Linked DNA regions of Tribolium castaneum. The protein of the gene in region 1 purifies or fractionates together with the protein of each later gene. This does not show direct contact. Links are inferred from orthologs where the notes say so. Each region holds a gene or a part of one and is shown in the gene's direction. Other genes may lie near its edges.

Evidence for each region.
Region 2: the proteins of inhibitor of growth protein 1 (region 1) and Sin3A purify together in Homo sapiens (affinity purification with mass spectrometry; 5 studies listed by BioGRID and IntAct, counting the BioPlex papers as one, with this or other methods). This does not show direct contact. The link is inferred for Tribolium castaneum from reciprocal best matches to the Homo sapiens genes ING2 and SIN3A.

The regions. Positions count from the first base shown.
Region 1 is NC_087402.1:346,869-350,083, forward strand, and holds inhibitor of growth protein 1, read left to right. Parts: upstream 1-1,215; 5' UTR 1,216-1,337; coding exon 1,338-1,473; intron 1,474-1,523; coding exon 1,524-1,733; intron 1,734-1,782; coding exon 1,783-2,333; 3' UTR 2,334-2,425; downstream 2,426-3,215. Other genes in the region: RASSF8 (ras association domain-containing protein 8), read right to left, coding at 2,860-3,087, 3,132-3,215. UniProt on the Homo sapiens protein: Seems to be involved in p53/TP53 activation and p53/TP53-dependent apoptotic pathways, probably by enhancing acetylation of p53/TP53. Component of a mSin3A-like corepressor complex, which is probably involved in deacetylation of nucleosomal histones.
Region 2 is NC_087396.1:24,661,533-24,665,960, reverse strand, and holds the start of Sin3A (paired amphipathic helix protein Sin3b), read left to right. Parts: upstream 1-1,508; 5' UTR 1,509-2,095; intron 2,096-2,175; 5' UTR 2,176-2,311; intron 2,312-4,428. Other genes in the region: sel (protein seele), read right to left, coding at 1-198, 256-340. UniProt on the Homo sapiens protein: Acts as a transcriptional repressor. Corepressor for REST. Interacts with MXI1 to repress MYC responsive genes and antagonize MYC oncogenic activities. Also interacts with MXD1-MAX heterodimers to repress transcription by tethering SIN3A to DNA.

The DNA.
Region 1 (3,215 bases):
TGTTGCTGAAACTCTTTATCCTTCCAAGGCGCCTACATGTGTTGGAGGGGGTTGGGCCACCACCATTGGCTGCTCCCACGTTTCCTCCATAATTATATTGTTACAATATTTTGATTTATTTAGCGCAAACCAGCTATTACGACTTCAGATTTCGCTGACCGACTGGAATTAGCTCAAGCGTCACGTTTCAAACTTAAGAAATTAATTGCAACTTTTCATTAAGTTCAATAAAGCCACAAAAGATTAAATCGGACGTTTCCTACAAAAGGATTTTTCTTTATGACTTGAGCCTGATTTATTTGAAACGTCCGCCTTGTGTCGACATTTTTAAGGTTACTAGAGACATTCTTCTGTCCGGAATACTGACAAGTTGCGAAAATTTCGACGGAAATTGGAAATTATTCGTCGTGTCTTTATGGCGGAGGCGCCGGGTTTAGCTCTAATATCTCGCAGACATTGACCATGCTTGTTTTTTTAAATTTATTTTCTTCTATTTATTTGCCAACAACTGGGGTGTTGAGTGTAGCCCCAAAATTACATTTTTTTAATTTATATTTACTGAACGGACCTAAAGTTTAGGAACATTATTTTTAAATTTAAAACATGGAATGCTCACTTTTTTGCATGTTTAACTTTTTATTCACATGCATGTTAAAACTTGGGAGATAAAAATCATTTTAGTTCCAATAAAACTCCTATTATTAAAACTCATACTTTGTATGAGCATTTGTGCATCAATATTTTATGCAAGAGAACATTAAACTTTAGTTAATATAAATTAATTTTTGTGGTACATTTGATTCCCGCAAGTGGTTGATGGTAATAATTAATAACAGAGTAACATAATTTTTTCTTGCTCCTTAACGAAAAAGTGCTGAAACTCTTTGAAAATGGAAAAAATTGTCTTTTGCGGCCCAATTCGATAATTTTTTATTTTGAATTTTGCAAAATAAGTGAGTTTCAGACTGAAAAATGCACTGAAACCTTGAAAATAATGCAGTGGTGAGCTGAATTTAGTAGTTTTTGTGCAAAAAAAAAGTTAAATTTGTGATAATTTTTTTATTATTACACAAATTTAGTGATTTTTTTAGGAGATCAAAGACGAAATTTGGCAAGAATTTAGTTTTTTTGATTATTTATTAAGCAGAACCGGTGCAGTTAGGCCTTAGACAAAATGGTCGTGTAAAAAATTGAGTTTGGCGCGTATCCGTCCTGGGGTTTTTTTCTCCGTGAAAATCGGTAAACAGCGATTGATGTCAAAAATGGTGGCTTATGTTTGAAATATGTGAAGCTGAAGTAAACCTTTAACCTTTTTGTAACTTTCCCCGTTGAAAATCATGTTGAACCAAGTGTCCGTCGAGGCCGTTTATTCCGCCACGTACGTAGAGAACTATTTGGATTGCGTTGAGAACCTCCCCGATGAACTCCAACGCCTAATCTCCAGGATGCGAGAACTCGACGTCTGTTACTTGGGTAAACTTTGCTATTTTCATCCAAAAACCGGCCTCAAGCCGCCCTTTCAGCCCGCGTGCGTGAAGCCGCATACCAGACCGAGAACTGGAAAAAAATCGGTAACGATAACCCCGCCAAAAAGGCCCGGGGCTTCGCCCGCATGCAGCAAGCCCTGATCGCAGCCCAGGAACTGGGCGACGAGAAAATGAACCTCTTGCAGTCAATTCTGGACAAGATTGAGATCAAGACGCGCTTGTTGGACCAGGACTTCAAAAATTTAGGTACTTTTCGTATTTTTTTAATTTACACCATGTCAAACGCGATTGCTAGATTTTGGTAAAGACGAGACGACTCAACTCGAAAACAAGGAGCAACAGCCCCCTAATAACAACAGCAGTAGTGCGGGTTTGGTCGAGAGGCCTCCAAAGAGGGCGCGGCGCACCCGTCATGACACTTTCTCAGGCTTGGAGTCGAATCATAATGATTCAGCCCCAGTGGAGCACGTTTTGAGGAGCCAGGTGCCGTCCACGGCCAACTCGACGAAGAAGAGTGGGACTGGGAAGAAGAAGAAGCGCAAATCGAAGCAAGTGCAAGCACAGAGAGAGGAATCTCCGCCAAGGGAGGAAGAGCCGATTATTGATCCCGATGAGCCCACTTATTGTCTCTGTGATCAAATTTCTTACGGTGAAATGATTATGTGCGACAATGATTTGTGTCCAATCGAGTGGTTCCACTTTTCTTGCGTTACTTTAACCACCAAACCGAAAGGTAAATGGTATTGTCCAAAGTGTAGAGGTGATAGACCCAATGTTATGAAACCCAAGGCGCAATTTTTAAGAGAACTCGAAAAGTATAATAAGGATAAAGAGGAGAAAACATAAGTTTATTGGTGTGTGCATTTTACAGTTCTTACATAGCAATTAAATATAATTTCATAGAATGTTTTAAAATAATAAATATGTCTAACATCTCAGTGTCTGGTAATGTTAACCTAACCAGGAACCTCGAAAAATCCTGATAAAAGAAAACCAAAAATTCCTAAATCCTCCAAACCCGCCAACTTGCAATTTCTAAATTAAAGGGAAAAAAGAAGAAGAAAAACGCAATTTAATATTTTTGTGTGTATTTTACATTTCCGACATAGCAATTAAATATAATTTTAATATTTTAAAATAATAAATATATCTAACATCATTTCTTTATCATAATCCTGTGTGATGCAACTACACACAATATGGCAGTGTAAAATAAAATAAAGTAACAAAAATGTGTAAGTAAAAAATCATCCAATCACCTAACAATAAATAACACTTTTTATAATTTAAAATGGCGTCAATACAAACTATCAGACTTGAAAATCAAACACGCCTAGACTGAGGTAAGCTAAACAAAATGACTACAATTTTATTAGACCCAAACTCCATGCGGGTTTTTATTGGTTGGTACAGCATTTTCCAATTGTCGAGGCGAACCAATCATTTTTCGGGTACTTCCCTTATTAGGACCTTCCAAAATCGCTCGTAAATCCTCAGGTGGCGCTATAGTCAAACTTTGTAAATTCGCCTCTTTCATTTCAGTCACAAGCAATTCCACTTGTTTTTTCTTTTCGATTATTGCCGTCTCAAGTGCGGCAACCTAAAAAACAATAAATTATCAAACAGAGGGATAAAACCACTCACTTCTTTTTTGAGCGTTTCGGCAGTCAGGTGATGCAATTCAGTGCTCTGTTTTGCCAACTCGATATCTCTCTGTAACCGCTCCAT
Region 2 (4,428 bases), on another chromosome or scaffold:
TCGCCCTTACATAATCGTCCATTTTCGTACAAATATCTTCGATCATTTCGGATAAATGAACCTCAGACTTGGCTTGAGAAACTGATTTGTGTCGATAATTGCCATCAGAGTCCAGTCTATAACCCCCAACGTCGACGGTTTTGGTTGGATCGATTTTATTCACAGCTTTGTGTAATTCGTCTAAACTAACTTTACAAACTGGAAATCATCACTAATTACAAAACACCATTACAACAAAAATCATTCATTCTTTACCTAAACACCTCAACTCTTGAGCATCAATTTTTTGTGCTTTTGTGTTGTAAAAAAAGAGTGTTACTAGAACTAGCGTTATTTTCATCTTATTGTCAGAACAATTTTGCACTTTTTCGGAATAAACTGGCAAGAATAATATTTTCGCGGCTCGCTTTCTTCAAAATAAAACTGGTTGACGTTCATAATTTTCTAATGACACGTTTCTACCTTCTGATTGGCTAAATTGGGCTTATGCTGATAGTGATGGCTGATAGTATTTGCTCCAATGGTATTTCCCGTAATGAAAATTATTTGAACCGAAAATCTTTCACAGTTATAATCCCGTGGTTTTTATAATGTAAAATTAAATCGATAAAATACATAACCAAACGGTCCAATAATACAGTTAGTTTTTGTAAGAATTATCTAATTGGGAATAATAATTGGATTAATTTGGGTTGAATTCTAACTAATTGGATGTTTCTGTTTTTTACGGTAATTTTTTACAAGTTTATCAGAAGTGTATTGGAGCCGTTTTGACTCGGAGCACAAACGTGACCCCATTTTCTTCAATTATTTATTGTCTGTCATAGAATAGAAGCACTGATTGAAGTGGGCAACCCAAAATACAATAAACCAAGTGAATTTATTTTTTTTTCAACTCTTATCTTTCTCAAAAAGCTCAAAAGCTCTTAAATATTAGCATATGGTATTTGTTTCAAGTTTCAGATTGCTACATAATTTTTTAAATGGAATTTATGACCTGTTTTAAATTTCCAATGTTCTCCATGCATCACTGTGTGTGTGTGTGTGTGTGTTTTTTTTTGATGTTTTGAATCCAAAAATGTGATTTTCAACTATTTTTATACACTCACTTCAGTTATTATTATTTTTTTAATTTTTCATTGTGGTTCTTATTGCCGAAGAGAGTGACTAAATTAATAATTAGTAATTAAAATGTGTCTTCTTGAGGTGTGTGTTATGCAGTAATGTTCACTGGATGTATATTCAACATAAAGTGGATTTATGAATTAATTGCATAGACAAGTTTTTTACTTGTTTTCAGATTTTTATTTAATTTTATATTTTTTATTAGCCTCTGCAGCCACGTAATCATTGGCACGAATACTTTTAGAAATTGTTTAGTTGATTAATTTCTTGTAGGTATAATTATTTTTAATAGTAATAAAAATGTTTAGGTGTAGTTTATTAATAATAATTAATAGACACAAAAAGAGTTTGAATCTTGATGTCCGGCTTAATAAGATTAATAACAGTCAGAGGTCAGTTTAAAACTTTTACATCTGCTACACGCTCAACTAATCCGAAAATGGGCACTACATTGTTCTTTGGCGGGTATTTTTAAAAATCGATAACAGCGCCACTGTTCTCTTCACATTGAACTATCAGAGCAAGCATCAAACAAACCTTTTACGGATCAGACAATTGATTCGAGGGGCGGTCGCTAGTATCCGAAACTGAAAAAATCCACAATATGACTAAAGTGTAATTTTTCTGGAATTGGGAGCTCATCCTGTGGCACGTCGTAATGTTTGTGTGTAGGTTTTGTGCATTTTGGTGATCAAAAACTTGAAAAATTTGAAAGTGGGCAAAGCGACCAACCACCCGAAATTGATGGACTCGTCCAAACAAGCTCGGAGATTTGAAGCAGCCAGTCAGTCGACAATCGGTCATCGTTTCGGGTGGTTCGGAACAGAATGTGTCAGAATTTTCTTTTGATGAATTCTAGTGTTTTCCAATTATTTCCCAGTGAAATCAGCGCGGATCGGTTGCAATTGTACGGTGCATCCCCGGCACCAGTCCGCACGGAAGCGCTTTCCGCGAAAGAGGCTTTTGTAAGGTGAGTGACATATTTTTAACTTTTCACATTGACACAAGTGTTGTGTAATTGCAATTCCCAATTCGGCGCCGCTTTTCCAGCATTTCCCATGGTTTTTCCGCGATTTCGGCGTCGGCGTTCCAAAATTAGCCTCCGTCGCGGGGGCCGGCACTCTCCCTCCGTGGAAATTTCGTCGGCCTGGCAACGCTTTTCCGCCGAAAATCTGCCGACCTTTCGGTAATTACGAAATTTCGATGCAACATTTTGTATTTGTTTACTGACAAAGAGTCGCGTCCGATTTTCGGCTTTATGCACTTTCGTGTTTGGGTCGCTTCGGTCGCAGCGCCTCGCACGTCCGGTTCCCTGCCCTTCCACTCGCCTATCGATTCCTTCATTGGCCAATCGCGAGCCTAGCTTGCTAGATCGCGGGAGCGAAGTCGACACGCAACGTTGCCACTGCCACAAATTACTCATGCACAAAGGTGTGGCAACGTTGCCACAACACAAATGCCGAAAAATGGCCACCAGAAACCGACACGTGACGAGATTTTTATGCGGGCTTTCTAAAACTTTGACGCGCGCCTTTTCAAGGTCATCCGTGAAAGTTGATTTACTGTTTGCATAAATGGTTTAGGGTATGGACTATTTATTTGGTTATCTCACGAGTGCCAAAATGATAAGAATTGTTACCCTGAGTTTTGTTTTGTTTTTTTTTCCGGGGAGAAATACCGACGCCATTATTGTCCGGAATGACGCGATAAGTAACTGCGTAGCAGTTCGTATAAACGCTACCGGTTTTGTTTATGCCAGAAATAAATAAGTGGGCGTGTCGTTTTGCGGATCAGCTGAATTGAAAATGTTCAACATGGGATCGAGAAATGTTCCATGAACGTTGTTGCCGATATTGTTGCAAATTTTCCTCGAATCTTATATTAAAACTTTAAAAATATCAGTGGTTTTGACTATGATGGACGAAATGTTGTTGGATTTTGTTTACGTAACATGTTATTTTGAGGTTATGTCGAAATAAAGTCATCATTTTGCTCTCCTAGCTTGTAAAAAACAGTATGGTCAAATTACATTTTTAAAAGCTTTTTTACATGTTTATTTCCACAAATTATTTTTTTGTCAAATACTAGTTTAGATTTTTGTTTTTACGATTTTTAGTAATTCTTGAATAACATTTTCGTGCTGGAATGAACATGTTTATATAAAATTTCAGAGGTAAGACGAGGGAAATAATTTGATAATTATTCAATCTGTAGGACGTGTTTCATAAGAGTAGTCTGTGCGAATTTTATTAAAACTGTAATTATGTGTCACATTGTGCTCTACTTTAATATTATTCATTTATCTACCAAATAAATAGGTAGTAAAATTATTTAAATTAGAGTTTGTCTCTGTTTTTAATTTAGGTATTATTATGTATGTTTTAAATTATAACGTTATAATAATTACTAACGGTGTATATTTATTTATTTGTAAGAAAAAGGTCAGAGATAATTACAAAAACTGATCTGACAGTAATAACATGCAGAAATAATGTTTGTACAGCGGTGGATAGAGGATAAAAATGGCAAATTGTTAAAAATTAATTTACATAATCACAATTATAGGTATTGGAAAATGAAAATTGGTTTTACATGTAATAAAAAATGTAATTTCTATTGGAAACCAATTTATAATGGAATGTTAAATAAAATGCTTACCGGTTATTATCATGGGTTATATATTTTTTGTCTAAAAAACATTGTATTTTTTCACGGAAATACAATATTCATAATATCTTCTGAAATTATTAATTAAACAAAAGGTAGGTAATTGTTAGGAATTCGATTAATGTAATAAAATAGCAGCATATCATGACACGAACACGTTTTTCTTAATCTTATCACAAAAGTGTAATAATATCAACCAGATGTCTCTCAACTCGAAAAGTGAAAAGTTTAATTGCCGTGATTTGTAATTATAAACTAATCAAATGGAAGTCTTCACACGTGTGTTAAAAAATGAAACTTGGTTAAATCACATTTAAAAAAAAACACAAATTTCGAAGAGACGTAAACCGTCACACTTGTTCAAACGAGTTTTAACCCAGCTCTTCAGTCTTTTCATAGAACAAAAATTAACGCCCATTATCAGCGTAATTGATTACGTTATGCGCATTAGCCCCTATCGAGCAATAATAACAGACGTCCCATTATTAAATGATGGCGACGTGTAAACATCTTTCGTATTATTTCACGAAAAACTTTAACATAATATGTAATAAAGGTTTTAAGAAAATACACATGATTTGACTACAGATTTTTTCATCGTCCGTGAGTGCGGTATTTCATTATCTTTCAAAATTC